Macaca fascicularis: one gene and its partners. The protein of the gene in region 1 interacts with the protein of each later gene in a pairwise test. Links are inferred from orthologs where the notes say so. Each region holds a gene or a part of one and is shown in the gene's direction. Other genes may lie near its edges. The genes, in order: PRKG1, FAM124A and ZNF646.

Region 1 (3,650 bases):
GACATGATAGAATTTCCAAAGAAGATTGCTAAAAATGCTGCTAATTTAATTAAAAAACTATGCAGGCAAGTATTTCAACCACATTATTTCTGAAAAGATCATAATGTGAAAAAAATAGATTTAATAAAACCATTATTTTATTTTTAGGGACAATCCATCAGAAAGATTAGGGAATTTGAAAAATGGAGTAAAAGACATTCAAAAGCACAAGTAAGTGTTCTTTCCTTATAATTTTAGGTTTCAGAGTTCTGAACACCTGCCATCTTTTCCCCAGGGTGTTGCTTTTTAAGTTATTGGTGTAAAACTAGTGTAATTAGCCTATAGGAACATCCAAAGACAGCATATAAACTAGTTAGGCTTTTAAATGCCTTTCTAGTTGTGATTATGAAACTTTATTTATATTTATCTGACAACCCTGTAACATAAGAAACTGAATTCACTGAACTCAGTTTCTTACAACTCATACCAACTAGCATTTTTTTCCTCTCTGGCACAAAGAAGAAATGTGTATTTTAAATTTGGGGATTCTGTTCTCTACCACAGTATTACAAACAAAAGTCCCCTACTGTATCTTACCTGATTTCCTAAAGACAAAATATATTTTTTTAAGCATTTCCTAATTAGATGCTATAACAAGAGAAAAACGTAAGCACAGAATACAGTGTTTTTTAAACAATAGCAACATCTTAAATATCAGACCTTTCCTATGTTGATTGGATGTTCTAAAGCTAAACTAATTGGTTTTTCTCTATTTGTTTGTATAACACTGACAGGAAATTCACATCCTTATCAAAGAAACATGTTTACTAAAATAACTCTGAATATCTGAAAAGCCTGCTAAGAATTTGTTGTAAGCATTTGCTGATGGCGAAACCCTTCAAAGACAGAAGAAAACAAACAAGCAAAAACTTTAGTCTTTTTTGGTCCTTATTTTCACAGAAAAACTGTACGCAAAACACCTTTATTCTTCATTAAAAAAGGGAATAAAGGAGGAAAATGGGGCATGTAGAGACTACTACAATGATGCGTAAAGATTAACTAGCTGACATTGTGCACTGAATCAGTGGCAAAAATGGAAAGTTAATTTTCTATCCTGACTTTTCATGCCCTGGTTCTACCTCCTTAAAATAAAATACCCTGTAAGACACAGGGCCAGATACATTATGACATTTATTAAATTATAATTATAGTGTAGGAACAAGGTCATAGAGCCATGACGACTGAATTACAAGGAAAAAGTGTTGCATGTTCATTGATGTTTAAAATTTGACAGTTATACTTTTAAAAATATGTATTTCATAAAATAAACTAATTGGGAAAACATATGCAATTCAATAGAAAACATTTTTGTCACATGAAAATGTTTGCCTAACTGCTTCCCATTAGCCATGGACATTGTATACATTGCAACAAGAAGGTTTTAGCTGACATAAAATGTCTTTATCGACGTTTTTTCCTTTTTTAGATGGTTTGAGGGCTTTAACTGGGAAGGCTTAAGAAAAGGTACCTTGACACCTCCTATAATACCAAGTGTAAGTAGACTTTCCAGCTTATAATTGTGTGAGACACTTGATGGTGTTTATGTCAGTCAACAATGATCTGTTATTTTTTAAGTTTAATCCTATGATTAGGTTAAACAAACTCTAGGAAAAATGTCACATTAAAATAATGACATATTCTAAAATCCAAGCTTAAAAGCAAATACATTTGGAGATAGTCGCTATAATTGTGTTTTACTCTTATCTTTTTTAACTATTCATTTTAAATCAAGTTTCCCTCATTTATGAACATAAGTTAATTTTTAGTATGGGAAATGTTCAAAAGATAGAAACGCAGACAAAAATATATAGGTGAGAGGATCACTTGAGGCCAGGAGTTCAAGAATTCAAGACCAGCCAGCCTGGACAACATAGTGAGACTCTGTCTCTCCAAAGAAAAAGAAAAGAAAATATTTACCAGGTGTGCTGATGTGCACCTGTAGTCCGTGCACCTATAGTCCTAACTACTCAAGCTGGAGCAGGAGGATCACTTGAGCCCAGGAATTTGAGGTGACTGAGCTGTGATTGCATCACTATACTTCAGTTTGGGTGACAGAGCGGAAAGACCCTGTCTCTAAAAAAAGAATAAAATAAAATAACACTTTTTCAAAGAGTCTTTACATGATCAGTTTTTTGGTTTTTGTTTTTTGGGGGGTTTTTTTTGAGATGGAGTCTTACTCTGTCACCCAGGCTGGAGTGCAGTGGCGCGATCTCAGCTCAGTGCAACCCCCGCCTCCCAGGTTCAAGCAATTCTCCTGCCTCAGCCTCCTGAGTAGTTGGGATTACAGGCACTCACCACAATGCCCAGCTAATTTTGGTATTTTTAGTAGACAGAGTTTCACCATGTTGGTCAGGCTGGTCTTGAATTCCTGACCTCAAGTGATCCTCCCACCTCGGCCTACCAAGTGTTGGGATTACAGGCGTGAGTCACCACGCTGGGCCTATATGATTACTCTTAGACTTCTGTGGCATCTTTGTTTCCATAGCTCTAGCCAAAATTTATTATATAGAAAGATTTTTTGTGATTATTTGTTTTAATCAGACAATTTATTACTCACAAGGGTATAAACTCTCTGAGGATAAGAACCATGTCTATTTGTACCCATCAGTGTGACCCTCAATACCTGCTACATAGTAGATACTCAACAAAATAGTCACTAATAGGGGATAAATACAGAATGCACTTAAAAATTCCAGCTTGGAATTCCACTAAAAAAAAAAATCCACTAAAACAAAACTGTCCATTTTATACAGGTTGCATCACCCACAGATACAAGCAATTTTGACAGTTTTCCTGAGGACAACGATGAACCACCACCTGATGACAACTCAGGATGGGACATAGACTTCTAATGTATTTCTCTTACCTGCTTCTGCCTTGCTGAAGACAGCTTTTTCTGAGACACAGCTGCCAGCAAACCTGAGGGAAAGAGAGAAGATTAGTGCTCGGGGTCACCATGATGCCTTTGATCGATGCTGCTCCAGTAACTACAGTGGCATTAGAACTTATTGCTTAGATGACAATAGTGCTCTTTACATGTTTTCTGTTTGAACCTAAAATAGCAGTTGACATGGTGGTCCTGAAGCAAAGCCTTTCATCAGTAAAGAGATGTTTTCTATTGTGGCAATGACCTTGCTTTGCTCTGATTATAATTTGAAAGACTGTAGGAAACACTTCAATCTAGTATAGGAGTCTGTACCTTGCTAGAATATTCAAGAAGATGAAAGAATAATATATTGGGTACAATAGATTACTATGGTACAGAAACTGGGCTATTCCCTTTCTTCAAGTGAAGGCTGTGGGATCTATTACTGCAGGCCGGTGTATATACCATACAAAAGAGGACCACACATCTGTTGGTCACAGAGTTCATGTCACACCAGTGCTAGAAGTTTCATGATTTTATTTCCCAGCAGTGCTGATGACAAGACTGAATGTTACCTTTTCTTTCTGACAGATTTTAAAAAATGATATGATAAAAGCACAACTGCTATAGATTCTGCTGAGACCTCTCATAGTAGGTATATATACGTTTTCACAGAGGACTGAAAAATAATGCATGATATTTGTTTTTTTTTTTTTTTTGATAAATTGGCATGATAGAGTGGGGA
Region 2 (4,293 bases), on another chromosome or scaffold:
GTCATTCACTTGACACACACGCATTGCTCCAGGGGCTGTTCCAGGTGCTGGGGACACACTAAGAACAAAAAACACTGTGTCCCTGCTCTCATGGAGCTGACCTTAGGGGTATGGGTAGGGAGGAAAGAGCAGGTGGCCAGTAAATAAATCTATCATCTGCCAGCTCCTAGTACAGTGCTAAGAAATAGAGTTGGGTAAGGGGATACTGTGATGTAGGATTAGTCAGTGAGGCCTCCGTTATGAGGGGCCATGTGAACCCAGAACAGAAGGACATGTGGGGGGAGTCTTGCAGAAAATCTGGGAGAAAATATCTCAAAAAGAAGGAACAGAAAGTGCAAACGCCCTGAGGTAGAAGAGGGCTCAGGTATCCCTCCCTGAGAGAGCTTTCCCTGCTCTCTCACAATTTGAATTATGTTCTCTCTTTCTTGGGCACACTATTCTTTTCCTTCATAGTGGTTTATCTCCATTTTGTTACACATATATAATAATAATATATATACACACACACATACACACAGAATTTGTTTAACTGTCTCCCCTCTGGATTGTAAGTGCAATGAAGGCAAGGATCATACCTGTTGCTATTTTCTCTCATTTGTATATGCAGAGTTCACCCTCCTGTTTGGCATTTAGTTATTGAATGAATCAGTACATTAAAAATGATCATTAATGACATTGTGCAATGCATCACTCACAATGTTTCTCACCCTACTTGAGAATTTTCTTTTAGAGATCAGTGCACAGGCAGGCGAATGTCCCCTGAAGAACTGGCACGCTCCTTTCTTTCAGCTAATGAGCACCAATATGTCCGTTGCTGCTCGGGGTGCAAGGAATTTTAGGCTCAGTAAGGACAATTCCTCCCAATGGTTTGGATAGGACTGTCAGAACTAAATTCAGGTTGTTCAGATTCTCCTTCCGACCGCCCTGCCAACTTGCCTCCCTCTTCACCCTCCTAATAGGAGGTGAGCCCCTCCAATAGTGATCATTAACTCACCCTGAGGTTATCCCCTTGCTGCAACAATCCGTGAATTGCAGGTTCATTCAATGCTCTAAATTATTTTTAAAGGCTTTTTTTTTTTAAGTAGCAAAAGAATGCATGACACCTATTGTAAACTGGCAAGTTGGGGGGTGGGATGCCACTCAGACGTGTACTGAGAAAGGTGATAATGAATTTGGCGTCAGCAATTCTTCAGAAACTATAAGAAAACACCCAGGTATTCGCATTGTTCCCAAAAGGGAAACAAATCCTTCTCAGCTTTCACGATGCGCTGAGGTTGGTTTTCTCAGTGCTCCTCCCGGATCAGGAGCTGGGGAACCTCGTGGCAAGCCCTGGGGCTCGGGATTCCCGGACTGTGGGCCTGGGAGAGAGGGGCGGCTCTTCTGTGCACACTCACCCCGCCCCCACAACACATACGCGGTCACGCACCACAGATGGGCACACGCGCTCAGCACAGCCACAGTCGCGTGCAACCAGGAGTGCACACCGCACCCATTTCACACCGCATCCACAGACGCACGGGACCTCACACGCCTCGGCCACTCACGCGCACACGCCCCCCACGCGCTCACGCACTCGCTCGCGCGCACTCCCCGCGCACCGCCGCGCGCACACGCGGGTCCCGCCGGACGGCGAGGGGCGGGGCGGGCGCGGCCGCGGGTGCCCCGCCGGGCGCGGCCGGGAGAGGGCGCGGCGCGGGGTTCGCGGCTGGCGCTCGAGTTGTTTGCCGGCTCCAGGGCGGCCAGACGCTCGCGGGGAGCCCAGCCGGCTCGGACTGGAGGGAGCGGCCGGGAAGGAGCGCGTCCCGGGTCACGACGGCGCCCGCGAGCCGAGCGCGGCCGGGACGCGCATCATGGACCCGAAGGCGAGCGGCGGCGGCGAGGAGGACGACTGCGTGGACTCGGGCGCCGAGACCGGAGGGTGAGCCGCGCCGGGCCGGACCGCGGGCGGGGGGCGCTCTCCGAGTTGCGCGGCGGCTTCTCCCTGGCTGGGGACCCTCCTGATCCCCGCAATGGGACAGGGGCGCGGGGCTTCTCCTGCCGGATCCTCCGCTGCCTCCCAGGCAGGCCGAGCGATCCGTGGCTGCCCTCGGCAGGGCGGGCCCCACCCGGGGGAAGGAAAGTGGAAGGGCTCAAGGTTCAGTGCAAGCCCACCCATCCGGTGAGGCGATGCAGAGCGCCAGGCGGATGCAAAGAGCCCTTGTCAGCATCGCTAGAGACAGGAGATGCTCTTGCACTTGTTTCCTCCTTCCTCGGGGACTTTCCTCCTGTAGCTCCGGAGCACCCTGGAGTCCGGCCCTGGAGATGGGGAGAGGAGGAAAAGCAGGGTGGGACACCCGCACCTAAAGTCTTTCCGAAGTCGGCTAGGAGGATGGCATTTCTCGTTATATGGCTTCATCGTGGGACTTTAATCTGTGCTGCCGAGTCCCCTTCCTCGACTCCTCCAGTCCCGCCGAACTTCGTCACCTCTAAGTGCACCTGTCCCAGCCGCAACCGTTGGCCTGTTGTACCGGCGGGATGGAGATGGTGTTAAGATTAGGATCTAGCCCTGCCTTTTTTTTCTTTTCTTTTTTTTTTTTTTTTTAATATTCTCTTCGCTTCAGCGGACTCAAACAATGAGCTCAAACCTTTGGAGACTAATTAGTTAGTCTCCAAACACTGTTTTCCTGAGCGGAACAAAAGACAAAATGCCTTTTAGGAGATGAATGTCATTATAAAGGCTTCCAGGCAGCCCCTATATCTAAAAGACTTTCCTGTGCAGAGTCAGCACCACATCCAGGCCACGGGTACTGACCCAGGAGGAAAGGATGTCTTTTCCTATCTGGAGTAATCCTGGGGGAGGGCGGGAGCTGCCCAGACTGCAGAAAGCCTCATTCCTGAAAGGTCGGAGAGGTTTTAGACTAATCTCAGGATTTGGCAACCCTGTGAGGGCAGGTAGAGAATCTAGGCCCACAATCGACCCAGAGTTCTAACCCAACCCCGGCAAAGCTCCCGACACAGCCCCTCCTGCCCCACCACTCCTAGCCCAAATGTGGGACTTTACTCCCTAGGGCATTCACCCAGCAATGGGCTTTCTCTGTTATCTAAACTCATTCATAGCTCTCTACAGCACCCAATTATAATCTGGTGGAGTAACCTGATGCTAAATGCTAAACTCCCTTTCTTCTTCCCACTCTTTGTATAAGTGGCATGTATCAACTTTAATTGAAGATTATTGGCTTTTTTTTTTCTGCCACTAGTTAGCTGGACTATGAATAGGAGAAACAAAGCAAAATTAACCAGCTTATTTGTAGCTGCGTTAAATAAAGCGTTCAGTAGTCTATTCATTTTCAATTTGCAGAGCTCACCTAAAACTGATGTTGTTTTCAAGGGCTCTGTCTTAGAGAAGGGAGAGGAAGTCCTGACCCAGGGGGTGATATCGCCCCAGGATCTAGACATCAGCATGACAGCTGCCAGGCCTCCTGGGAGGGGCTCGCCACTCCTGCTGACACCAGAGCTTCTGTTCTCAGCCTCTGTCACTAAAATGTGTAGTTGTAACAGGACAGAATTGTTTAAAGAATTCTTGGCCGGGCGCCATGGCTCACGCCTGTAATCCCAGCACATTGGAAGGCTGAGGTGGGCAGATCACCTGAGGTTGGGAGTTCGAGACCAGCCTGGCCAACATGGAGAACTCTCGTCTCTACTAAAAAAAAATACAGAATTAGTCGGGCGTGGTGGCACATGCCTGTAATTCCAGCTATTCGGGAGGCTGAGGCAGGAGAATCTCTTGAACCCAGGAGGCGGAGGTTGCCATGAGCCGAGATCACACCATTGCACTCCAGCTTGGGCAACAAGAACGAAACTCCATCTCAAAAGAAACAGAAATTCTTACTGTATCACTAGCATCCTTAAACTAAAGGTAAAATAGCATGCGTTTCAATGTATGCTCATTAGTTTTGTGTTTTCCGTATATTCATGGAGCCCTTGAATTTCAGTTATCAAAAAGCTGTTCATCGTTTCCCTACTTTTCTGGAGCTTGCCCCCACCCCTGACCCTATCCAGTTTTCACAGAGATTGTGTAGAAAGCACATAGAAAACAATAAGTTTGCTATCAGTATTTTTAAAATGCAAATCTGATCATGTCTCTCCTTTTCAAACTTTTATGGCTCAGTTATCTACAAATGCAAGGAATTTAACGTGGTCTACATGCCCTGACTCCTGTTATGGAGTCCCTTCTTCCCTCCCTGGCCTTGTTTCTCAGCAGGTCCTTCTGTGCGCCTTGTATCTAGCCACATCTGACAGGTTTTTCTGTTTCCT
Region 3 (3,454 bases), on another chromosome or scaffold:
GGGTGAAAGGCAGGAGCCACCCTGGGAGGAGAAAGGGATGCCCACCACCAATGGGCGCACAGACGAGAGCAGCCGGGACCAGCTCCCCAGTGCACAGATGCTGAATGGCTGTGCAGAGCTTAGCACCTCTGGGGAGCTGGAGGACAGTGGCCTGGAGGAATACCGGCCTTTCCGCTGTGGGGACTGTGGCCGTACTTACCGCCATGCCGGGAGCCTCATCAACCATCGAAAGAGCCACCAGACAGGTGTCTACCCCTGCTCGCTCTGTTCTAAGCAGCTGTTCAATGCGGCTGCTCTCAAAAACCATGTGCGGGCTCATCACAGGCCCAGGCAAGGAGTTGGGGAAAATGGGCAGCCATCAGTGCCACCAGCTCGCCTGCTGCTGACTGAGACCACCCACAAAGAGGAAGAGGACCCCACCACCACCCTGGACCATCGGCCCTATAAGTGCAGTGAGTGTGGTCGTGCTTACCGCCACCGGGGGAGCCTGGTGAACCATCGCCACAGCCATCGGACTGGAGAGTACCAGTGCTCACTGTGTCCCCGCAAGTACCCCAATCTCATGGCCCTGCGCAACCACGTGCGGGTACATTGCAAGGCTGCTCGCCGAAGTGCAGACATCGGGGCCGAGGGTGCCCCCAGCCACCTCAAGGTAGAACTCCCGCCTGACCCAGTAGAGGCAGAGGCAGCCCCGCACACAGATCAGGACCACGTGTGCAAACATGAAGAAGAGGCCACAGACATCACGCCAGCAGCAGACAGGACAGCAGCACATACCTGTAGCATCTGTGGGCTGCTCTTTGAAGACCCTGAGAGCCTTGAACGTCATGGCCTGACTCATGGGGCAGGGGAAAAGGAAAATAGCAGGACAGAGACCACAGTGTCACCTCCTCGGGCCTTCGCCTGCCGAGACTGTGGAAAGAGCTATCGCCACTCCGGCAGCCTTATCAACCACAGGCAGACCCACCAGACAGGAGACTTCAGTTGTGGGGCCTGTGCCAAGCACTTCCACACCATGGCTGCCATGAAGAACCACTTGCGCCGGCACAGTCGGCGGCGGAGCAGGCGGCATCGGAAGCGGGCTGGTGGTGCCAGTGGTGGGGGAGAAGCCAAACTCCTGGCAGCAGGGAGCTGGACCCGGGAGCTAGAAGACAATGAAGGCCTGGACTCTCCCCAAGACCCTTCAGTGGAAAGTCTTCATGGGGCGGAAGGCAACCTGGAAAGTGATGGGGGCTTTTTGCAGGCTGAATCTGAAGGGGACAAATGTGGGCTTGAGAAGGATGAGACCCATTTCCAGGGTGATAAAGAGAGTGGAGGCACTGGGGAAGGACTGGAAAGGAAGGATGCCAGTTTACTTGACAATTTGGACATCCCAGGAGGTGAGGAAGGTGGTGGGACTCGCTTCTGCGATGGCCTCACTGGCGTGGATGAAGACCAGAAGCCAGCCACTGGCCAACCCAACTCCTCTTCCCACTCTGCCAACACTGTCACTGGCTGGCAGGCTGGGGCCACTCACACATGCTCTGACTGTGGGCATTCTTTCCCCCATGCCACTGGCCTGCTGAGCCACAGGCCCTGCCACCCACCAGGCATCTATCAGTGCTCCCTCTGCCCGAAGGAGTTTGACTCTCTGCCTGCCCTCCGCAGCCATTTCCAGAACCATAGGCCCGGGGAGGCGACCTCAGCACAGCCTTTCCTCTGCTGCCTCTGCGGCATGATCTTCCCCGGGCGGGCTGGCTACAGGCTTCACCGGCGCCAGGCCCACAGCTCCTCTGGCATGACTGAGGGGGAAGAGGAGGAGGGGGAAGAGGAAGGAGCGGCAGAGGCAGCCCCTGCACGCAGCCCGCCACTGCAGCTCTCAGAAGCAGAGCTGCTGAATCAGCTGCAGCGGGAGGTGGAAGCACTGGACAGTGCAGGGTATGGGCACATCTGTGGCTGCTGTGGGCAGACCTACGATGACCTGGGGAGCCTGGAGCGCCACCACCAAAGTCAAAGTTCTGGGACTGCTGCAGACAAGGCTCCCAGCCCCTTGGGAGTGGCAGGTGATGCCACGGAGATGGTTGTGGGCAGTGTCTTGGAGGACATAGTGACTTCTGTCTCTGGAGAGGGTGGAGATGCCAAGTCTCAAGAGGGAGCAGGCACCCCCTTGGGAGACGGCCTCTGCATGCAGGGTGGGGAAAGTTTGCTGGAGGCTCAGCCCCGCCCCTTCCGCTGCAACCAGTGTGGCAAGACCTATCGCCATGGGGGCAGCCTGGTGAACCACCGCAAGATCCACCAGACTGGAGACTTTCTCTGCACTGTCTGCTCCCGCTGCTACCCCAACCTGGCTGCCTACCGTAATCATCTGCGGAACCACCCTCGCTGCAAAGGCTCTGAGCCCCAGGTTGGGCCCATCCCAGAGGCAGGAGGTAGCAGTGAGCTGCAGGTTGGGCCCACCCCAGAAGGAGGCAGCAGCAAGCCCCAGCACATGGCAGAGGAGGGACTGGGGCAGGCAGAAGTCGAGAAGCTCCAGGAAAAACTTAAAGTGGAGCCCCTGGAGGAAGTGGCAGGGGTGAAAGAAGAGGTGTGGGAGGAGACCACTGTGAAAGGGGAGGAGATAGAGCCCAGGCTGGAGACTGCCGAGAAGGGCTGCCAGACTGAAGCCAGCTCTGAGCGGCCCTTCAGCTGTGAGGTGTGTGGCCGATCATACAAGCATGCCGGCAGCCTCATCAACCACCGGCAGAGCCACCAGACCGGCCACTTCGGCTGTCAGGCCTGCTCCAAGGGCTTCTCAAACCTCATGTCCCTCAAGAACCACCGGCGCATCCATGCAGATCCCCGACGTTTCCGCTGCAGTGAGTGTGGGAAGGCCTTCCGCCTGCGGAAACAGCTGGCCAGCCACCAGCGTGTCCACATGGAGCGACGTGGGGGTGGGGGCACCCGAAAGCCGACTCGGGAAGATCGGCCCTTCCGCTGTGGGCAGTGCGGGCGGACCTATCGCCATGCTGGCAGCCTCCTGAACCACCGGCGCAGCCACGAGACGGGCCAGTACAGCTGCCCCACCTGCCCCAAGACCTACTCCAACCGCATGGCCCTGAAGGACCACCAGAGGCTGCACTCGGAGAATCGGCGGCGGCGGGCTGGACGGTCCAGGCGCTCAGCTGTGCGTTGCGCCCTCTGTGGCCGCGGCTTCCCTGGCCGGGGATCTCTGGAACGGCACCTGCGGGAGCATGAGGAGGAGACAGAAAGGGAGCCAGCCAATGGCCAGGGAGGCCTGGATGGCACAGCCAGTGAGGCGAACCTGGCTGGTAGCCAGGGACTAGAGGCCCAATTGGGTGGTGCTGAGCCAGTACCCCAGCTGGAGGATGGAGTCCAGAGACCAGGGGAGCGCAGTCAGAGCCCCATCAGGGCAGCAAGCTCAGAAGCCCCAGAGCCACTGTCCTGGGATGCAGGGAAGGCAGGTGGGTGGTCAGTA

Evidence for each region.
Region 2: the proteins of PRKG1 (region 1) and FAM124A interact in binary tests that used the Homo sapiens proteins (3 or more experiments, as listed by UniProt). The two-hybrid records come from large-scale screens. The link is inferred for Macaca fascicularis from reciprocal best matches to the Homo sapiens genes PRKG1 and FAM124A.
Region 3: the proteins of PRKG1 (region 1) and ZNF646 interact in binary tests that used the Homo sapiens proteins (3 or more experiments, as listed by UniProt). The two-hybrid records come from large-scale screens. The link is inferred for Macaca fascicularis from reciprocal best matches to the Homo sapiens genes PRKG1 and ZNF646.

What each region holds. Positions count from the first base shown.
Region 1 is NC_088383.1:94,262,899-94,266,548, reverse strand, and holds part of PRKG1 (cGMP-dependent protein kinase 1), read left to right. Parts: coding exon 1-65; intron 66-147; coding exon 148-210; intron 211-1,465; coding exon 1,466-1,532; intron 1,533-2,792; coding exon 2,793-2,891; 3' UTR 2,892-3,650. UniProt on the Homo sapiens protein: Serine/threonine protein kinase that acts as a key mediator of the nitric oxide (NO)/cGMP signaling pathway. GMP binding activates PRKG1, which phosphorylates serines and threonines on many cellular proteins.
Region 2 is NC_088391.1:30,377,327-30,381,619, forward strand, and holds the start of FAM124A (protein FAM124A), read left to right. Parts: upstream 1-1,427; 5' UTR 1,428-1,431; coding exon 1,432-1,918; intron 1,919-4,293.
Region 3 is NC_088394.1:29,258,642-29,262,095, forward strand, and holds part of ZNF646 (zinc finger protein 646), read left to right. Parts: coding exon 1-3,454. UniProt on the Homo sapiens protein: May be involved in transcriptional regulation.